2 linked regions of the Arabidopsis thaliana genome follow. The protein of the gene in region 1 interacts with the protein of each later gene in a pairwise test. Each region holds a gene or a part of one and is shown in the gene's direction. Other genes may lie near its edges.

Region 1 (8,241 bases):
TTTTTGAGTAATTAAATTATATATATAATCTGATAATAGTTACAACTTCCATCCAACGACCCACTCATCATATACCAACTTCCAAACGCTAAAGTATTTTCGTTTTCACTTTTAGGGGCAAATTTGTCATAAATTCGATGAAAAAGTTGAAAAAATGCCTCATCTCTGCAAAGTGCCTCAAATGGAATAAAATTTTCTAAAAGTGCCTAAACTTGTCACATTCCTAAAAAGGAAATCACTCAGTATTTGAGCACGTGAGTGTCACGTGCTTACAAGTTTATTATTTTCCGTCGCCTCAAATTTTATTATTTTCGCTTCGCCGACGTATTTCTCTCTCTTCCGTCTAGTCTAGCTCTCCGATCATGTGGGTGACGAATACCGTACTTCTATATCGACCCAATTCTATGAACCGATTAACCTTTTCTTACCCGACCCGACTCGCCCACTCTCGTAAAGCCTCTTCCTTTTCCCGTTTCTTTCGGTCTTCAAAGAGGAAGAAGCGGGTTACGACATTGTCGACGAAGAAACCAGGTTCAGCTTTCTCACCTCCATTGACTTACCAATCTCTTTGCCAATGTTTATCTGTTTGAAATATTCTAACTTTATTCAAAATTTTAACAGATGACGATCACGAGATATCGCCAGTTCCGCCGGAGAAATTCTCCGCTGATTTGGGATGGTTATCGGCTTTTCCTCATGTATCAGTTGCTTCTATGGCCAATTTTCTCTTTGGTTATCACATTGGGTAATAATATAGCCAATTCACTGTTGCCAAATTTGTGAAGTAACAGTCGTTGTTGTTTGTTTCACTGGCCTAGTTTGATTTCTATACCAGAAGATTAATCTCTGTTCGTGTAGTAGTGTTAATGCTTGGTTGTGTTACAGAATTCGAAAAAAAGTTTCATTTTGACATTGCTGGTGAGAAACAGCTTCAATTTGAGCTTACAAAGATGTTGATTAGATTGTTTTTACAGAGTGTTGATTTGTCCCCGTCTTGACAATTTGTTAGCTTCCAGTGAGAAGAATATGAGTTAGTCAGGTTGATCTGGATTAGTTTTTCGAAAGCTTAGTACTTATAATACTATCAGTTTGTTCTTGCAGAGTGATGAATGGCCCCATCGTGTCTATTGCGCGTGAACTTGGGTTTGAAGGCAATTCTATTCTTGAGGGTCTTGTTGTGAGCATATTTATTGCCGGTGCATTTATTGGTAGCATAGTCGCCGGTCCACTAGTTGACAAGTTTGGCTACCGACGCACCTTTCAGATTTTCACGATACCCCTCATTCTTGGTGCCCTTGTGAGGTAATATCTTGTTACTAAGGTGAATCTTGATTTCGTTATGTTAGTAACAATTCCATGATGATGTTTTAAGTTGTGAGGTAGCAGCATAACTAAATTTTACTTTTTCTCTCAGTGCACAAGCTCACTCCTTGGATGAGATCTTATGTGGAAGATTTCTTGTTGGTCTTGGTATTGGCGTCAACACAGTTCTTGTTCCAATATATATATCCGAGGTAATCTAATATGTGATTCCTTTTCAACTTCATGTTTTAACTATTTGGCTTCTTCTGCTGTAAGATCTAGGACATTTCTTAAAATTGATCCTATGTACTCTCAGACTCTCAGTACAATAAGTTGTGGTTTAGCATTCTTTTGCTTAGCATATTTTGCATTTCATATGTTCGGCTGAAGAGTCTTGTTACTTCTGATATTAAGCCAACCATTTTTATTCTATAGGTTGCTCCGACGAAATACAGAGGTTCCCTTGGAACTTTATGTCAAATTGGCACTTGTCTCGGGATAATCTTTTCTCTTCTCTTAGGGATTCCTGCAGAAGATGACCCTCATTGGTGAGCTTCATTTAGCTATCTATACATTTCACTCTTCACTTCATTCTCCTCATGTATACTACTGTTCAGGTGGAGGACAATGCTCTATGTAGCGAGTATGCCTGGTTTTCTTCTTGCACTTGGTATGCAATTTGCAGTAGAAAGTCCCCGTTGGCTCTGTAAGGTATAAGTCGCCTCTTTTAATCATGAGGAAGCATTGATTTTCCATGTTGAAATCGTGTCTCATGATACTTGTTTAGGTTGGACGACTTGATGATGCCAAAGTAGTGATAAGAAACATCTGGGGAGGATCTGAAGTCGAGAAAGCTGTAGAAGATTTTCAGTCGGTTATGAAGAATAGTGGCTCCAACTTAAATAGCAGATGGCTGGAACTCCTTGATAAACCACATTCACGAGGTCATGTTAAGGTTGCTTTTAATGTTAGTTCTAACTTCTAAGGGTGTTATATTATACCATAAATCAGAAACTGAAAACATTCAAGTTTAAGAATAACCTTTTCCAGGACTTTGATCTAAGAAACTGAGAATATATAACTTCATACATGAAAAATCTATGTAGCTAAATTGTATGTCTTGTTGATATAATGGTTGCAGTTGCATTCATTGGGGGCTCCCTTTTTGTCCTACAGCAATTCGCGGGCATAAATGGCGTTCTTTATTTCTCATCTTTAACATTCCAAAATGTTGGAATCACGAGTGGTGCTCAAGCAAGTCTATATGTTGGAGTCACAAATTTTGCAGGTTCTCAAGTCTCACCTATATCAACTTTAAATTTAGATGATTGTTTTTTTCTACTGTTTCCATCACAATGTCCCTTTTCTGAACTGTTGGGTCTAATAGGTGCTCTGTGTGCGTCTTATTTGATTGATAAGCAAGGAAGAAAGAAGCTTCTTATCGGTAGCTACTTGGGAATGGTAAATATCTTTTTCTTTTATCACATAAACTCTTTTGCTTTTCACTGCTTTAGCTTATTTTGATTGAATTGATTTGGTGTCACAGGCAGTCTCTATGTTTCTTATTGTTTATGCTGTTGGTTTCCCCTTGGATGAAGATCTGAGCCAGAGTTTGTCAATACTTGGAACACTCATGTAAGTAGCTTGAAGTCCAGCAATTACTAGTCTCCTTTTCTCAGCTCATATAGTACCCAAAAAAAGACAGAAACGTATCATATGTTTGGTCCTGTTACAGGTATATATTCAGTTTTGCAATTGGAGCTGGTCCTGTAACAGGTCTCATCATCCCTGAGCTAAGCAGCAACAGAACGCGTGGAAAAATCATGGGTTTCAGCTTCTCTGTACATTGGGTATGTGTTTTTTTAGTTTTCCCATAAATCATTTTATAACCTTTTGAAGTTTGAAGAATGACGAAGCAAATGTTCTTCAGGTCTCCAACTTCTTGGTTGGTTTGTTCTTCCTGGATCTGGTGGAGAAATACGGGGTTGGAACGGTCTATGCCAGCTTTGGCTCAGTATCATTGTTGGCAGCGGCATTCTCACACCTCTTCACGGTGGAAACAAAGGGTCGATCACTAGAAGAGATCGAACTGTCTTTGAACTCCAGAGACGACCTGAGTTAAAAAAAAAAACGGTATAAGTGAAAGAAAGAGAGAAAGACCTCAAAATTTTTATCAGTTTTTCATCAGTTGTTGTAAAATGTAAATAGCCTGGAAATTAGCTTGTGAGAAATCTTGTGAGTATATAGATATACTTAGGTATGTAAGAAAAGATTTATAAAAAATGCGAAAGAAAGTTGACAAGGATTACACAAAATACATACTTATGAAAGGTTTGTGCCTATTTACAAGTGGTAAGACGTTCTTGATTTATAGCTTAATGTAGTAACATTGTCTCGATCTAGACTATACATGCTTACCATGTCATGGTGAAAATCGTGAGTCCATAACTCATGATCTCTATATATTCATATTCATATATAATACTGGTTTGCACGTCTGCAAACAAAGATAAAGATTTCTGATAATATTAAATTTATCCCAAGAATATTGAATATAAAGATGCTAGCTGGTTCTCTGAAAAAAAAAAGCGTACACAGCTTGTCATTGAATTTATAACCTATACGAATATGAGGCTCGTAGAAACAACTCTTAAGGAATTGTGAGAGAATGTTACTTTTAGCCGATCAAAAAATTTGTAACATAAATACACTGACAAGATATTTGTATTATAATAAGTTTTCGAAATTTGAACACAATTCTATGCATCATGCTTTTTCTTCTAACAAGAAGAAGAATTTAAACACAATTATATATTTAACGCGCCAAAATCGCGTGTGAAGTCTCTCTATTAGTCAACGCTATATCTTGAAAGGGTCTCGAGACTCTCCAGCCATTTTATTCTGCCTTCCTCTCTATATTTAGAAGAACAAAAATTGAAAAAAAAATCCTTAGAGAGAGGAAAAAAATTTAGAGGAAAATCTTCTAATTTGGTTTTAATTCTTCGTGATTAATCGCTAATCCAGAGTGATTAAGAAATTAAAACCCCTTGAGGAACAAAGAAGACGTTTGGGTGAAATTAAAAGCGCGACGACGAGGACAATGCCGAGCAAGCTTAAAAAAGCGATTGGTGCGGTTAAAGATCAGACAAGCATTAGCCTCGCCAAAGTTGCTAACGGAGCCACCGGAGGCGGCGATCTCACGACTCTCGAAGTTGCGATCTTGAAAGCTACGAGCCACGACGAGGAAGTCCCAATCGACGATCGACTCGTAACAGAAATCCTCGGAATCATATCCTCCAAGAAATCTCACGCCGCCTCTTGCGCCGCCGCGATCGGTCGCCGTATCGGGCGTACACGGAATTGGATCGTCGCGCTCAAATCCCTAGTCCTCGTCCTCAGGATTTTCCAAGACGGTGATCCTTATTTCCCTCGCGAAGTCCTCCACGCCATGAAACGTGGCGCCAAAATCCTCAATCTCTCCAGCTTCCGCGACGATTCGAACTCGTGCCCTTGGGATTTCACTGCTTTCGTCCGTACATTCGCGCTTTACCTCGACGAACGTCTCGATTGCTTCCTCACCGGAAAATTACAGAGACGGTACACAAACCGAGAACAAACCGGAAGAATCAGCACCAACTCAACAACAAGATCCCGGTTTAATCCCAAAGCCGGAATTAAATCCCACGAACCGGCGGTTCGAGATATGAAACCGGTAATGCTTCTTGACAAAATCACGTATTGGCAAAAATTACTAGACAGAGCAATCGCGACGCGGCCGACGGGAGACGCGAAAGCCAACAGGCTCGTGAAAATGTCGCTTTACGCCGTCATGCAAGAGAGTTTTGATCTTTACAGAGACATTTCCGATGGATTAGCGCTTTTGTTAGACAGTTTCTTCCATCTGCAATACCAATCTTGCATCAATGCGTTTCAAGCTTGTGTTCGAGCTTCGAAACAGTTCGAAGAGCTTAACGCATTCTACGATCTTTCCAAATCGATCGGTATAGGAAGAACATCGGAGTATCCTAGCATTCAAAAGATCTCTTTAGAGCTTCTTGAGACATTGCAAGAGTTTTTAAAAGATCAATCGTCGTTTCCAGCGAGCTCAGGGTTGTATCCGTCACCGAATAGTTTTCTTCCTCCGCCTCCATCGTCCAAAGATTCAGCGGTTTCAAGCTCGCTTGATTTTGGGGATTCCACGATTGATACGTCGGAGAGGTATTCAGATTACGGGTCGTTTCGTAGTACTTCGTTGGAGGATTTGATGAGCAGGACTGAAGCAGGGACTAGTAGTCCTCCAATGTCTTGTCATTCTGAGCCATACGGAGGAGGACGAGATGATCCTAATGGGAATAATTTTGATACGGTTTCGACTAAATCGCTTCCCAATAATCCCTCTGTTTCTGCTTCCAATCTCATATTAGACCTATTGTCATTGGATGACGTAAGTAACACGGCAGAAGCAGAAGATGTTGAAGACAAGAAGAAGCAAGACGATTCAAAGGCAGAGACTTTCGATCCTTGGGAGGCGTTGATGTTGAGAGATGATCCGAAGAAGAAGATAGAAACGATTGAGGAGGAACCTTCAACCGCTGAGGACCATCAGAGAGATTCAGGGAATTGGTTGCTTGCGTTAGAAGAAACTGCTACGCAGGTGCAGGGTAATAACTCGATGGCGATAGTACCGTTCGGGTTAGATGATCCGATGCCTGCGTTTCAAGCCGCCACGGACCAATACAACCCATTCTTGGAAGAACCAGTTGCGCAGTTAGCTACAGCCGGAGAACCAATGATCACGTTCGGTGGCTTGGCTTTGACAGGGTTTCAGCCAGAACCGACATTTCAGGTGAACGTTCCTGATGATTTTGAGCCGTCTTCTACACCAACATTTAAGGCCACGGAGACTTTGCCTATGAAATGTGACCCGTTTACAACATTTGAGAGTTTTGGGTTCGGAGAGACATTTTCAGAAAATGGAGGGGTAAATCAGCAATCTGTATTGCAAGAACAGCAGATATGGTTGCAGAACCAGAAAAAGATCATAGCCAAGCACTTGAGTTGATACAAAATTTATTTGGCTAGACAGAGGTTGAGATGTTTCTTTGAGTTTTTCTTTTGTTACATTGTCAACTTAACTCTTAACTCATTTTTCCATAACTTAGAGAAATGTGAAATTCAGAAATTCTTTGATTAAAAAGATATTTCCGCGGATTCTATCTTCGTACTTGCATTCCTGTGTATACACGATGTATTTTGTGTGTCTTGTATCATAATCACATTGAGAATTTGATTTTCAAGTATATCTCAACGAATAACACTCAAATATCTAAGTTCACCTTCTGAATACATTTACGTACACGGTACACTTTGGGATTTACTTTTGAATATGTTATTTTCTTTGAAGTTTTTGGGAATTGAAATTTAGCTAGCATTTTGATCATCGTGATGATGTTATGTAGCATTTAGTTTATGTATTTTTGAAAATATTTATGTATTCATTTTTAGTCTATATTAATATAACAAGTTTTCACATAATCACACAACAGATGCATGCATCTAATGTGTGTGTATTAGATGAATGTATCCGATATGCGTATTAGATGCGTATATCTGGCAAACAATTTTTTGCATTTTATTTTCCGATATGCATGTATTTATGTGTTATGATATGCATCCGTGATAATGCGAATGATAAAATGAATGTATATCGGTGGAAGATAACGAAGAGGGAAGCCAAATGGAATAAATTAAGGAGGTCCACTAGTAGGTCAAGTTGGCTTTGTGGTGTCGATAACATGAGATTGACCAAAGCTGTAGCTTGACCCCAAGGCCACGAGGGAGAAAGATCTACCAAACCAAAATCATCATAACACATCTCTTTCTAGTATATAGCCCACCACAAATATTAATTCTTTTAATAGTTATACACCACAAATTTTATCCCCCATTGGCCATTGACTAGAGTCGTTTTCGTCTTTGACAGTGGTAAAAGCTTCTGTATATGTGAATTTAGGATTCCACCTTTCTTAGGTTTCTCATTACAAGTTGATTTAACTTCTTGACTTCTCAAGTTGTTGTTTTGTAATTTAGTAAAAATTTGCTTACAAGTCATACATGATTGAATATAACACCGGCTGCTAAGCCTATTTTTCTATCATAAGTTTCGCTTTCGAGTCAAAATGTTAGTCAACATGAAATAAAACACGTTTCTTTATTTGTTTTGCTTATTGATCAACTTTAAAATAGTCCCATAAAATAGCAAATATTAAGAAATTTCAAATCAATACATTAGTTGCCAAAACCCGTCTGTGATATTATACTTTTTGAGGCTCCATAATAATGACGTGAGATTTGTTTGTGACTGAGGAAGTGGAAAATAAAGTTAAGCATGTCTTACTATTATCAAATATCAGTTTTTCTATAACAAAGTATGAATGTTGATCAAAGACAAAAACAAAAAAAAGGTGATCCACCTTTCTCCAAATAGAAAGGAAGTAAGGCAATGAATGTTTTTTTTTTTTTTTTCCATTGCATTTGCTTTTAAATCCTTATAAGAATTTGAAAGAAAAATATCTTATCAACTCTTAGAGGTGATCTTTGGGCCAAAGAGGGAACCACGTAATCGAATCTGAACTTCTCCGCTTAAATGGGAAATTTTATTAGATCTGATAAACGGCCAAAAGTGATAGCTCATGATTCTTAATATAGACGTGCATACAGAGATGTTGTTACCGGCCGAAGAGCAGCTTCGTAATCAACGGACACAAATAAACCACTATTGGTCCATCAAAATTAATACAAAACGAATGAAAACTGCTGTGTCATAAGACTAAATAATTTTGTATATTATTATGATTTAGATGGATGCGGTCTACAAATTTTTTTAACAAAAACCAACCATTAGTTTGTTTAAGTTACTTGAAAACAAGAAAAGGTTCA
Region 2 (9,947 bases), on another chromosome or scaffold:
ATTTCTCAAAAAAACAAATTTTTTTTATCCGATTCATTATCAAAAAATAAAATTAAAAAAAAACAATTATTTTAAATTATTTGGTTAGTGTTTCATTATAATTTTTCTTATAAATAGGGTCTTTAAACCTTCCAAGAAGTCATATAGAAAACGGCTTCATAAAAAGAAGATAGAACTTGGATAAGTTTAGAAGATAGAAATGGAATGGAGAGAATGTTATTTAGATGTGATATTGGTGCCGCTAGGGCTAATGGTGTATGCATCTTACCATGTTTACTTGTGGCATAAGTTACGAACACAGCCTCTCACCACTATCATCGGCACTAACGCTAGAGCTCGCCGATTCTGGGTCGCTTCCATCATCAAGGTAACTTCAATTTTCTTATATAAACATCTTCACACACATAAATATATGATTTTAATTTTATGTATTTGATTAAATTAGGACAACGACAAGAAGAACATCTTGGCCGTTCAAACGCTTAGAAACTGCATAATGGGGTCGACTTTGATGGCAACAACATCGATCCTCCTCTGCGCTGGTCTAGCTGCGGTTTTAAGCAGCACATATGCAGTGAAGAAGCCTCTAAACGACGCTGTTTTTGGAGCTCGCGGAGAGTTCATGGTGGCTCTCAAGTACGTCACGATACTCACCATATTCCTCTTCTCCTTCTTCTCTCACTCTCTCTCAATTCGTTTCATCAACCAAGTTAACATCCTCATCAACACTCCTTTTCCTCCTGAGGAGTTGGAGGACGAGATGATGATGACCGCGGAGGAGTACGTGGCGGAGTTGCTAGAGAGAGGGTTTATTTTGAATACTGTGGGGAATCGGTTGTTCTACGCGGCTTTGCCGTTGATGCTTTGGATATTTGGACCGGTGCTTGTGTTTTTGTGCTCGGTCGTGATGGTTCCTCTACTTTACAACCTCGATTTCTTCTTCTTCGGTAAAGAAAGAAGAAAACTTGATCAAAAGTCTAGTTTTGGATCTGTGTAAAATCGAGTTCTGGTCAGTAGAACAAGTGATTTGTAATTAAGTGATATCATCGTCCTCTTTGTTAAATCCTGGACTACCGATGAACGCATGAGGACTTTACATGGAAGTTGAAAAGTTCGAAGATCATAGTTTAGGTTTCAATTCTAGATCTTCCGATTAAGAAAAAAAAATGTAATTAAATAACGCATTATAATTTTCATATATTAGGGTTTTTCGGCCGTATGTATTTGGTGTGGTGTAATATATGTCACGTTTTGGTTTATTGAGCGTTATTATTGGCATTTCCATGTGGGTGACTTTATAACGTATCAGCATATCTCACAGCTCTCTTGGTATGTACGTTTCTCTTTTTTCTTTTTCTTTTTCTGTTAGTGTTTATATGCATGTGGCTTACGTTGGGCAAGAAACGGGACAAAAAATGTGATGTTCACATCTATTCCGTGCATTAGTATCTGTCTTATTAAGTTTTGTTGTTATGTTATGTGTTAGGAACCAGTCGTCACGAGGCTATTTAAATCCTCCCTAAGACAATGTAGAAATATACCTACACGGTTATTTTTCTGTGTAGTATGAAATCAAACTGTTTAGAACTCGTTTAGAGATGACAATTCAGATTATGATGTTAGCTAATTATATCCGAATCTAGTTCTGAAGCCCATGTTCGCCTAGATTAAAATTGTATCATTGTATGTTAACTAACTCTATTTTTCATATATATATTTTCAATTTTGGTTTAGATTAGGTAAACAAAAAGCTATTTCATGCTACAAACAAATACAATTTTAGTGATGAAAATTTTCGTAGTTAAAACTTTAGTTTCGTACGTAGCTAAATAGCTAAACGACAGTTGCTAAATAACTTACTCGTGACTATCCGTTGATACACAAATTTCATGGATAATAGCTACTGACCATTTAACAACGAGATAGCCAGAGATATATCATAGAGATAGCCAATTAAACTGTTGGCAAAAGTACCATGGGCTGTCCTTAAGTGGGCCTAAATCTAATAAAATTATAAACTGTGGCCTGTTAGGCATGTGATATTTTTCTCTTTTTCTTCAAGCCTTTTTATAAAAATAAATGTCAAGAGATGATGAAGGCATTTGCACTTTTGAAGAATTGAAGTAGGAGCTCAAAGCGAAGGATTACGATGATAGACATCTCTGTAATGATTTAACAAAACTCAAATACAACATCAAGTTTGGAAGATCACTGGACTGTTTTGTGTTTGATCATTTACTCACCTGTAATTCTTTTTTACTAATATATAACTTATAAGAAATCATAAACTATAATCTTTTTTTTTTTTGGGTTTAATGAGACTTTTTTCTGTCCTTTTTTTGAACACCTGTGAATCATAGACTATAATCGAACTTCATCCCCTTTTTTTTTTTTTTGGGAAACTTAGAGAAGAACAAAACATTTGTGAGGCTGATGATTTGATGAGACCGCAACGTTGGAGAACTTTGGAGTATATTAATAATATACATTTTCAATATTATCAGTATATGCATTTTCAACTAGGCCTTGCTTTATACACCGGAGATTATAATTAATGAAAAGATGAATTACGTTAATGTCATTGCTTCTGGTTTGAGTTGGCAAACTCCACGTACCACGTACATATAATTATTATTGAGTAGTTGCTAATTAATTATACTTTTGTCTTGTTAAAACTAGTATTATAAATTGGTTAATGCCATAAAGCAAACGATAGACCAGACACATCTCTGATAATCCAGCGGTACTTATTTGTCATGATTCTGTGATCCAATCAATTAATCGTATAGATTTAGCTATCGCGAATCGTGATTCCAACCTTTACATAAATTCTTTTTAAATTAGGGCAAATTGTGTTGGATCAAGCATAGTAATAACATAATACGTACTTATAAAATTGTTAACGTGCCGGTGTTGTTTGGAGAGAAAAACAAAGATTCTTAGCTCTCAGGCAATTAAAAAAACGAGTATCGAAAAATTCAGAATAGAAGTTGCTTAGTTAACGAGAAATTAAATGGTGCATCGAATATCTAATGGTTTAATCTGGATATAGTAAAATTAGTACTCCACGATTAGTTAGCAGGCAAGTAGATGAATGTCATTAATTTGATGATCTGATTGAATTGCTTTCGAAAAAGGACAATAATAATAATATCGACTGGTTAATTGGTTGTCATATTTTACCCAAAAAGGATCAACCATTGGATTTACGCCACGTCATTAATGTGAAAATACAAAAGTGGATCCGATGGATGCCGCGTGTCATCGTCGGTCACGACATACCCACGAAGCCATTTACCTCACGTTTAGTACCATCTATCTCTCTCTCTCTCGTCTTGGCACGCTGTTTCTTTTTTTCCTACTGGTTAAGAAATTTCTACGGTCCATGGTCAAAAACACACCTTCATAAATATACAGAGAGATCGTGAGAGAGCAGAGAGGAAACGTTTCTCTTGTTCGTTGGAATCTCCGTCCCTTTTTGTTGATCGACGGTGGTGAATCTTAGACATGGCGGCTGCGAAGCTCGTCGCTTTGTTACTTCTTGCCTTGCTTTTCACCACCAGCGTCTTCGCCGATGCTGATGAGCCGGAGGTTTCTGAGGCTGCCGGATCCGATGGCTCTTCCAAGATCCACCTGGATCAGCTTAATGCCAAGATCCGTGCCCTAGGTTAGTTACCGACTTGCATTGTTCAGACTCTTCCATCTGATCGAATGATTGCGAAGTTTTGATTTTTATTCGACTTTGATTCGTATTTGAAATCGGAATCTGCAGAGTTCGCATGTTATTGGTCTGACGCTGATAGAATTACCGTTTCAGCTACTTGATGTGTTTCTCTGTTCTTATAGCATTGACTTAAATTAGTAGCTTTTGGATCGATTTCAGATATGAATCGTATTAACTTGTTCCCAATGTCGAATTGCTTGCTATGGTTTTGTGGAATTTGTGAAATGCCTAATCCGTTCTGATTCGAGCTTGTTATAGCTTGATTATTTGGTGAATGCAAATTTTGGGGTTTGAGCTTTATGTTTTGTTTTTGTTTTGTTTTGAAGAATCTCAAATCGATGAGAAAACCCGGGAAGTTCAGGGCAAAGACGAGGTAGTAGCAGAGAAGGAGAAACTACTCAAAGAAAGGGAAGACAAGATTGCTTCCTTGCAGACTGAAGTCTCATCACTACAGGTATGGATCTTATATGGTTTCAGTTTCATCTACTTTTTTTTGGAACTTGTGATAAAAAATTTCTAATCTTTTTGACATGTTTGGCTTAAATCTGATCTGTGTGTTTTCACTCATCTCCAGAAAAAGGGATCATCAGATTCTGCAAAACAGTTGGGAAAGGCTCAAGCACGAGCTGATGAATTAGAGAAGCAGGTGAAATTTTTAAGTTCAAAAACTCAATCTATTTATATGGTTAGAATTTGCAAACGGTTATCTGATTTTTGCGATCCTACTACTGTCGTTTAGGTTGAGGTTCTCAAGAACTTCTTGGAGCAAAAAAACAAGGAGAAAGATTCCACTGAAGCTCGGACTAATGAAGCTGAGAAAAAACTAAGGGAACTTAACTCGAGCCTTGACAAAGTATATTTGTTTACATCCCTCGTTTCATTTTTTGCATTACACCATTTCATTTGTTTTTTCTCTAAGGGACATGGTAAATGCTTAGTTACGTTTTTTTTTATCTCAGCTTTAGCTAGACTTTGTTTAAGGTTGAGGTCAAAATATCTTCATGTTCTAAGCCTCGTCATTTATGCTATGTTATTAGCATTGCAATTTCCGTTCTCAGCTATATTAGTTCTCATTAGGACAGCTCCTTGGATGATTTGATACTCGTGTTTGATCTTAATTCGATCTTGAGTTGTATGAGAATTATATAGAACAGAGTTTCGTTATGCAGTCTTATTATACCATCAGAACTTTCCCTCCTTCTTACTATACCATCGACCATGCTTTTATGGTCCCTTTTATGGATATGTACTTTTGGTTGAACCAATTCTTATAGTAATGTCCTGAGACATTTAATTATAGTATCTGATGTCTTGCAGCTTCAGAAGACAAATGAAGAGCAGAAGAACAAAATAGGAAAACTTGAACGTGCTATTAAGATAGCTGAGGTACAGTAACCTCTTATTAAAGTAGATTTGCCTCACATATAGTTTTTTTCTAAATTTTAAATTTCAGGAAGAAATGTTGAGGACAAAGCTCGAAGCAACCACAAAGGCGAAGGAACTGCTAGAGGTATTAGTTTGACACAGTTTTACATTTGGCTTTCTCTGATGCTATTATAGCATTAGATTTTCATTGTGTGGGAAATTAGCGGAGCCTGGAATCTGGAAGTCGGCAGAAAGCTAATGTCAATTGTTTTATTTACTCAGGCTCATGGTTCGTGGCTTCCCCCTTGGCTTGCTGTTCACTGGTTTAAATTTCAGGTAAGGTTTATGCTGGCCTTTTTACAGTTTTACAACATAGTAGTTATCCCCCCCAATTAACATAGGGAATTTCATGTACCTATAGACTTATACCGAGACACATTGGGAGGCCCATGGGAAACCTGCTGTGGAGACAGTAATTCTAAAGGTACTGTTTAACTTTTGTCCTATACTCCTATTGAGATTTATGCCTCTAAACAGTATGAGAGCATCTGGCTAATGAAGTTTACTTATTATTGAGTAGGTGACGGAAGCAAAAGCTCAAGCTGAAAAGTGGGCTGAACCACATGTCGAAAACGTTAAAACTGTAAGCATCTTATTGGCAATTTTTTTTGTAGTAAATTTCTTTGACATTAATGGAATGCCTGCATTTTTGGTGAATCACAAATCTCTAGAGTTATAATTGGCTCATATTACTATGTCTTATGACACTACTTGCAGAAATATATTCCAGCCATCAAGGAAACCGTTACTATACATGTTGAGCCACACTTCCGAACACTATCCATCAAAGCTAAAGAGGCTTACCATTCATCAAAGAGTGCTGTTTCCCCTCACATTGTCACGGTTCAAGAATTTGTAGACCCCTATTATCAGGTATAGTGTCTTTTTCAGTTTATTTTTTCACTGATAGGTTTGGTACACAATTAATCAACTAGTATTTACGGATGTAAACTTTATGCCTGTTACAATTTCCAGGAGGCCAAAAAGTTCAGCAAGCCATATGTCGACCAAGTGGCCACGACCACGAAACCACATGTTGATAAAATGAAGGTTGCCATGAAACCTTACACAACCAAGGTGATCATCGTCTATACAGAGTTCCTTGAATCCGCCACAACTTATCACAATCAGGTCTGAAACCAAAATCCTGCTAATGTATACTAAAAATAAATCTGAGTTATTCCACTTCTCGGACTCATCAAAAAGTATGCTCGACTTGTAAAGCTAAAATCTGTGTTTGTCTGTGAAGGTCCAAGCCCATGTTGAACGAAAACTGAAAAGCCATGAGCTGACGGAGCCTTTTGCTACCAATGAGTTTGTTTGGTTTGCGGTATTTTGCCTTACTTTCTTCTAGAACGTATTCTGAGAATGCATCCTTTATTTGTTTCCTCTCTAACTTCAAATCTAAAATCTATGCACTGCAGGCCTCTGCATTGTTGGTATTTCCCATCTTCGTTGCTTACAGAGTGCTCTCTTCTCTCTTCTGGCAAGTCTTTTAAGTAATCCATTTAGTCATTTTATGTAATATTCTTAATCATAAAAATATCTCATATTATTGTTTATCGCAGCACAAAGACAAAGAAACCTGTTAAACACCCTCATCACCATGGTCGTCGTAAGGCCAAAAGGGCTCACACTGACAAGTGATATTCATTGTTCCACGCTCTCAAAATAGTCGAGGTACACTCTCACGTTTAACTTTTGCTTGACATTAGCCACACTAAGGAACATCTCCTCTCTTAAAAGCATTGTAGTTACGAGTTTTCTAGCTTCCAGCCTCAGAGGAAATCATGTAGTCTAGTTAGTGTGAAAATAAACAAATATGTAGTGTTAGTAACAGAACCATACTCAGATTATGGAATGTGGTTTTGAGTATCTGATGCCACATAACATTAGGTGCTTCATTGTCGTTTCTTAATCTGTTGCTTCTTAATCGCTCCAGGTCACGAGGTTAAAACGCCATTGTTGTTGGACTGTTCTAAAGTCAGCTAGCTCACCGGACAGGTTGCTTGTTGAATGAAGGGAAAGTCTCGAGTTGGTGTCTGATGGGTTTTTAGAGGCTCGTTGTGCACAAGTGTTGACTTCTTTCCTTTATTATTTTGTATTGTTTTGGACAATTTATTTCAGCATTTTTACACAGAAGATTAGACATTACTAGAGAAATTCTAGCAAAAGCTTGGTTGTATTTTAGTGTATTTTTCTATTTTACGTGGATATATATTGCGATATCTTTAATTTCATTCGAACTCTTTCTTTTGCAACTTATCTTTATGCTTAATTCATAATTTCTTATAATTCCATCAAACTCTAGAATTATTCTTTATTTTCCTCAAATTACTTTCTTACAAAATGAACTCTTGGTCTCTTTAAAAATTCACCAGAAAGTTTTAGCTAACCTTGAAAAACACAAAACGTGGAAGAGATAATTAAGAGAGATATTGGTACTAACAATTCATCTTAACTAGATACAGTAGTCGAGAGGCCAACAACAAGTCTTGGGACTCGATTTGAGTCAAGAAAGAAGCATGTATCTATCTTAAAGGCACTTTAACGTTTCTACTTCCACTTGATTTTCTTGTTTATAAACATCGCCACTTCCACTTCCTCTAACACCCCAAAGTCACAGCAACTTGGTGCAAAAATAAAATGGCGAACCCCAACGAGCAAGAAAAGGCAATGAGAACGAAGGTTAAATGGAAAAGATTCACTGAGATGGAAGTAGATATGATTATGCCAGATCCATCTCCAAACGGTAACATCTATCACTCCGCCTTTGAGATGAATGCCGCAAGAAATGGTTTAACTGTCCCACCAAAAGCAAGAGCTATCTTCGGTTACTTAGTGATCATGCTTTACAAGAATGTCAACGAATCAAACTTTAGAGAATTTTCTAACAAGCGTTTCAAAGCACTTCGTGCTGTCGCTCATGATATTTCAGATGGACATATCTCAGTGTTCAATGATGTGGAAGATGCTATCTGCTATCGAAACTCGTATGGTCAGAACCATCAGATCCGTAAAGCTGTTCTGAGTGCTGTCCTCGGTAGCAAAAAGAATGACCACTGTTATTTCTCTAGTGTTAGTCTTAATGTTGCTAAATTCCTTTCTTGGACAGACATGGCAGGATATTATGTTGTCGAAGAAAATCTTGTTTATCCTGATTCCCCTGTTCTCAAAGCTCCTGAGTTAGCAACTGAAGTAAGCAATTGGAAAAAAGCAGATCAAGCAATCAAGGAAACTGACTCGCCTGAGTATTACAGGATCTTGCATGAGGATCCTGCGAGCTGCTCTATACTTAGAAGAGCAAACTTTCCGACGCTCATTGCTGTCGCAGAGAAGTTGAAGAATAGAGTGCTTGGTGGCAGCAACAAGGTAGTGAATGCAGAGATATCTGACAAAGTAGACTACTATTTTGATATGCATGTCAAGTAGTACGCTTCTGGCCGAGTGTGCGAAGCCACCGAGCGTATTGTCGACTACTTTGAGGAAAATTCTGAGTCATTAGCGAAGCTTTTCTGTAGTTAGGGTCTGATTCTACATGGCGTCCTGTTTTTTTTTTGTTTTTTTTTTTCTTGTGCACCACATGTGTTTAATCAGATATTTTAGTATGTTGCTTTGATTTTTATTTGCTGTCTTAAACTTCATTAAAAAAGAATTCAAGGAAGAGATTCAAAAACAGAAATACAAAGCATGACAGTTCAAAACAGAGCACAATTGCTCCGAATATGTAAAACATAGTTGAGACTAAGTAACAGTTAGCCCAAAGAATTTCTTCACTACACGTATTGTTTATGAATTCTAAGATTTCTTAAACCTAAACAAACCTTTCTTGGGGGAAAAATAGTATATTCTTCCATGTCTGTCCAAGAAAGAATATTGGCCACATATGAACAAATATCACCAAAAGAATCTCCATCCTTGGTATGATTGAGAAAACCTTTCAGGACAGCTTTTCCGATCTCAGGGTTCTATACCATAGGTGGACCGTAAGTAGGTCGAGTGATCCTCATCATTGAACACTGACACATCTTCTCCTTTGATCGGAACATAACCAGCTGCATCAAAAAGTATTCTCATATGTTGATCAGAGCTGACTTCAGTGTCATTCTTGTAAAGCATGATCACTAAGTAACCGAAGAGGGCCACTGACTTTTTTGGTTCTACCACCTTTTGTGGGACGATTAAACCGTTTCTTGCGGCAGCTGACGGGAAACTTATCGTTCGCACCGTACGACCCATTGCACGAACAGCTTGTTGCAGAGCATCAGTTACTTCCGGCAGTAATAGGTCGCTCTCTGGTCCCTATCGGTCAGGTATTCATTCTTTGCACACTCAAGACTCAACTGAAACGCCGCATAACTGCGATTCGCCTCCGTTGCAGCAGACGCATCACCAAGAATCATATCTACTTACATGCTCATACAGTCATACTTCAAATAAAAAGATTGAAATCGAAAGAGAACTACTTTTGTTTGTTGGCTTTAGAATTAAAAGATCTCTATAAATTTAGGGTTTCAGTGGAGACGTTTTATAAATACGGAGTAGAAGTTGGAACGTTGATTTGAGAGACGTGGCTCTTGGGCTAGGTACATGCATGGACTCGATCGGGTCCATGCTGACTTGTCTTTGCAGTTTCCTTCTAGTGAAAACGTCTTGCCGTTTATACATTCGGCGGGGTTAATGAAAACGGAGTGTTGTGTCTTGTGTGCGTGCGTAGTTCCCAAAATACGACATCGATTCTACTTTCTACTAGTTTTTAAAAGCTTTTGCAGTGCACATTTGTTAATACATAAAGGTA

The links. The genes of interacting proteins can lie anywhere in the genome.
Region 2: the proteins of AT1G05020 (region 1) and AT4G31340 interact in a protein complementation assay, tested with the Arabidopsis thaliana proteins (one large-scale study listed by BioGRID).

What each region holds. Positions count from the first base shown.
Region 1 is NC_003070.9:1,433,507-1,441,747, reverse strand, and holds AT1G05020 (ENTH/ANTH/VHS superfamily protein), read left to right. Parts: upstream 1-3,984; 5' UTR 3,985-4,402; coding exon 4,403-6,364; 3' UTR 6,365-6,593; downstream 6,594-8,241. Other genes in the region: AT1G05030 (Major facilitator superfamily protein), read left to right, coding at 363-531, 622-745, 1,102-1,302, 1,415-1,514, 1,738-1,850, 1,920-2,013, 2,090-2,246, 2,444-2,590 and 4 more. UniProt on the Arabidopsis thaliana protein: Adaptins are components of the adapter complexes which link clathrin to receptors in coated vesicles. Clathrin-associated protein complexes are believed to interact with the cytoplasmic tails of membrane proteins, leading to their selection and concentration.
Region 2 is NC_003075.7:15,202,155-15,212,101, forward strand, and holds AT4G31340 (myosin heavy chain-like protein), read left to right. Parts: upstream 1-3,282; 5' UTR 3,283-3,507; coding exon 3,508-3,667; intron 3,668-4,050; coding exon 4,051-4,178; intron 4,179-4,298; coding exon 4,299-4,370; intron 4,371-4,463; coding exon 4,464-4,577; intron 4,578-5,041; coding exon 5,042-5,110; intron 5,111-5,177; coding exon 5,178-5,234; intron 5,235-5,371; coding exon 5,372-5,425; intron 5,426-5,510; coding exon 5,511-5,573; intron 5,574-5,669; coding exon 5,670-5,732; intron 5,733-5,866; coding exon 5,867-6,022; intron 6,023-6,124; coding exon 6,125-6,280; intron 6,281-6,398; coding exon 6,399-6,479; intron 6,480-6,573; coding exon 6,574-6,635; coding exon of another isoform or gene 6,636-6,639; intron 6,640-6,717; coding exon 6,718-6,796; 3' UTR 6,797-6,829; intron 6,830-7,091; 3' UTR 7,092-7,450; downstream 7,451-9,947. Other genes in the region: AT4G31330 (transmembrane protein, putative (Protein of unknown function, DUF599)), read left to right, coding at 200-367, 446-997.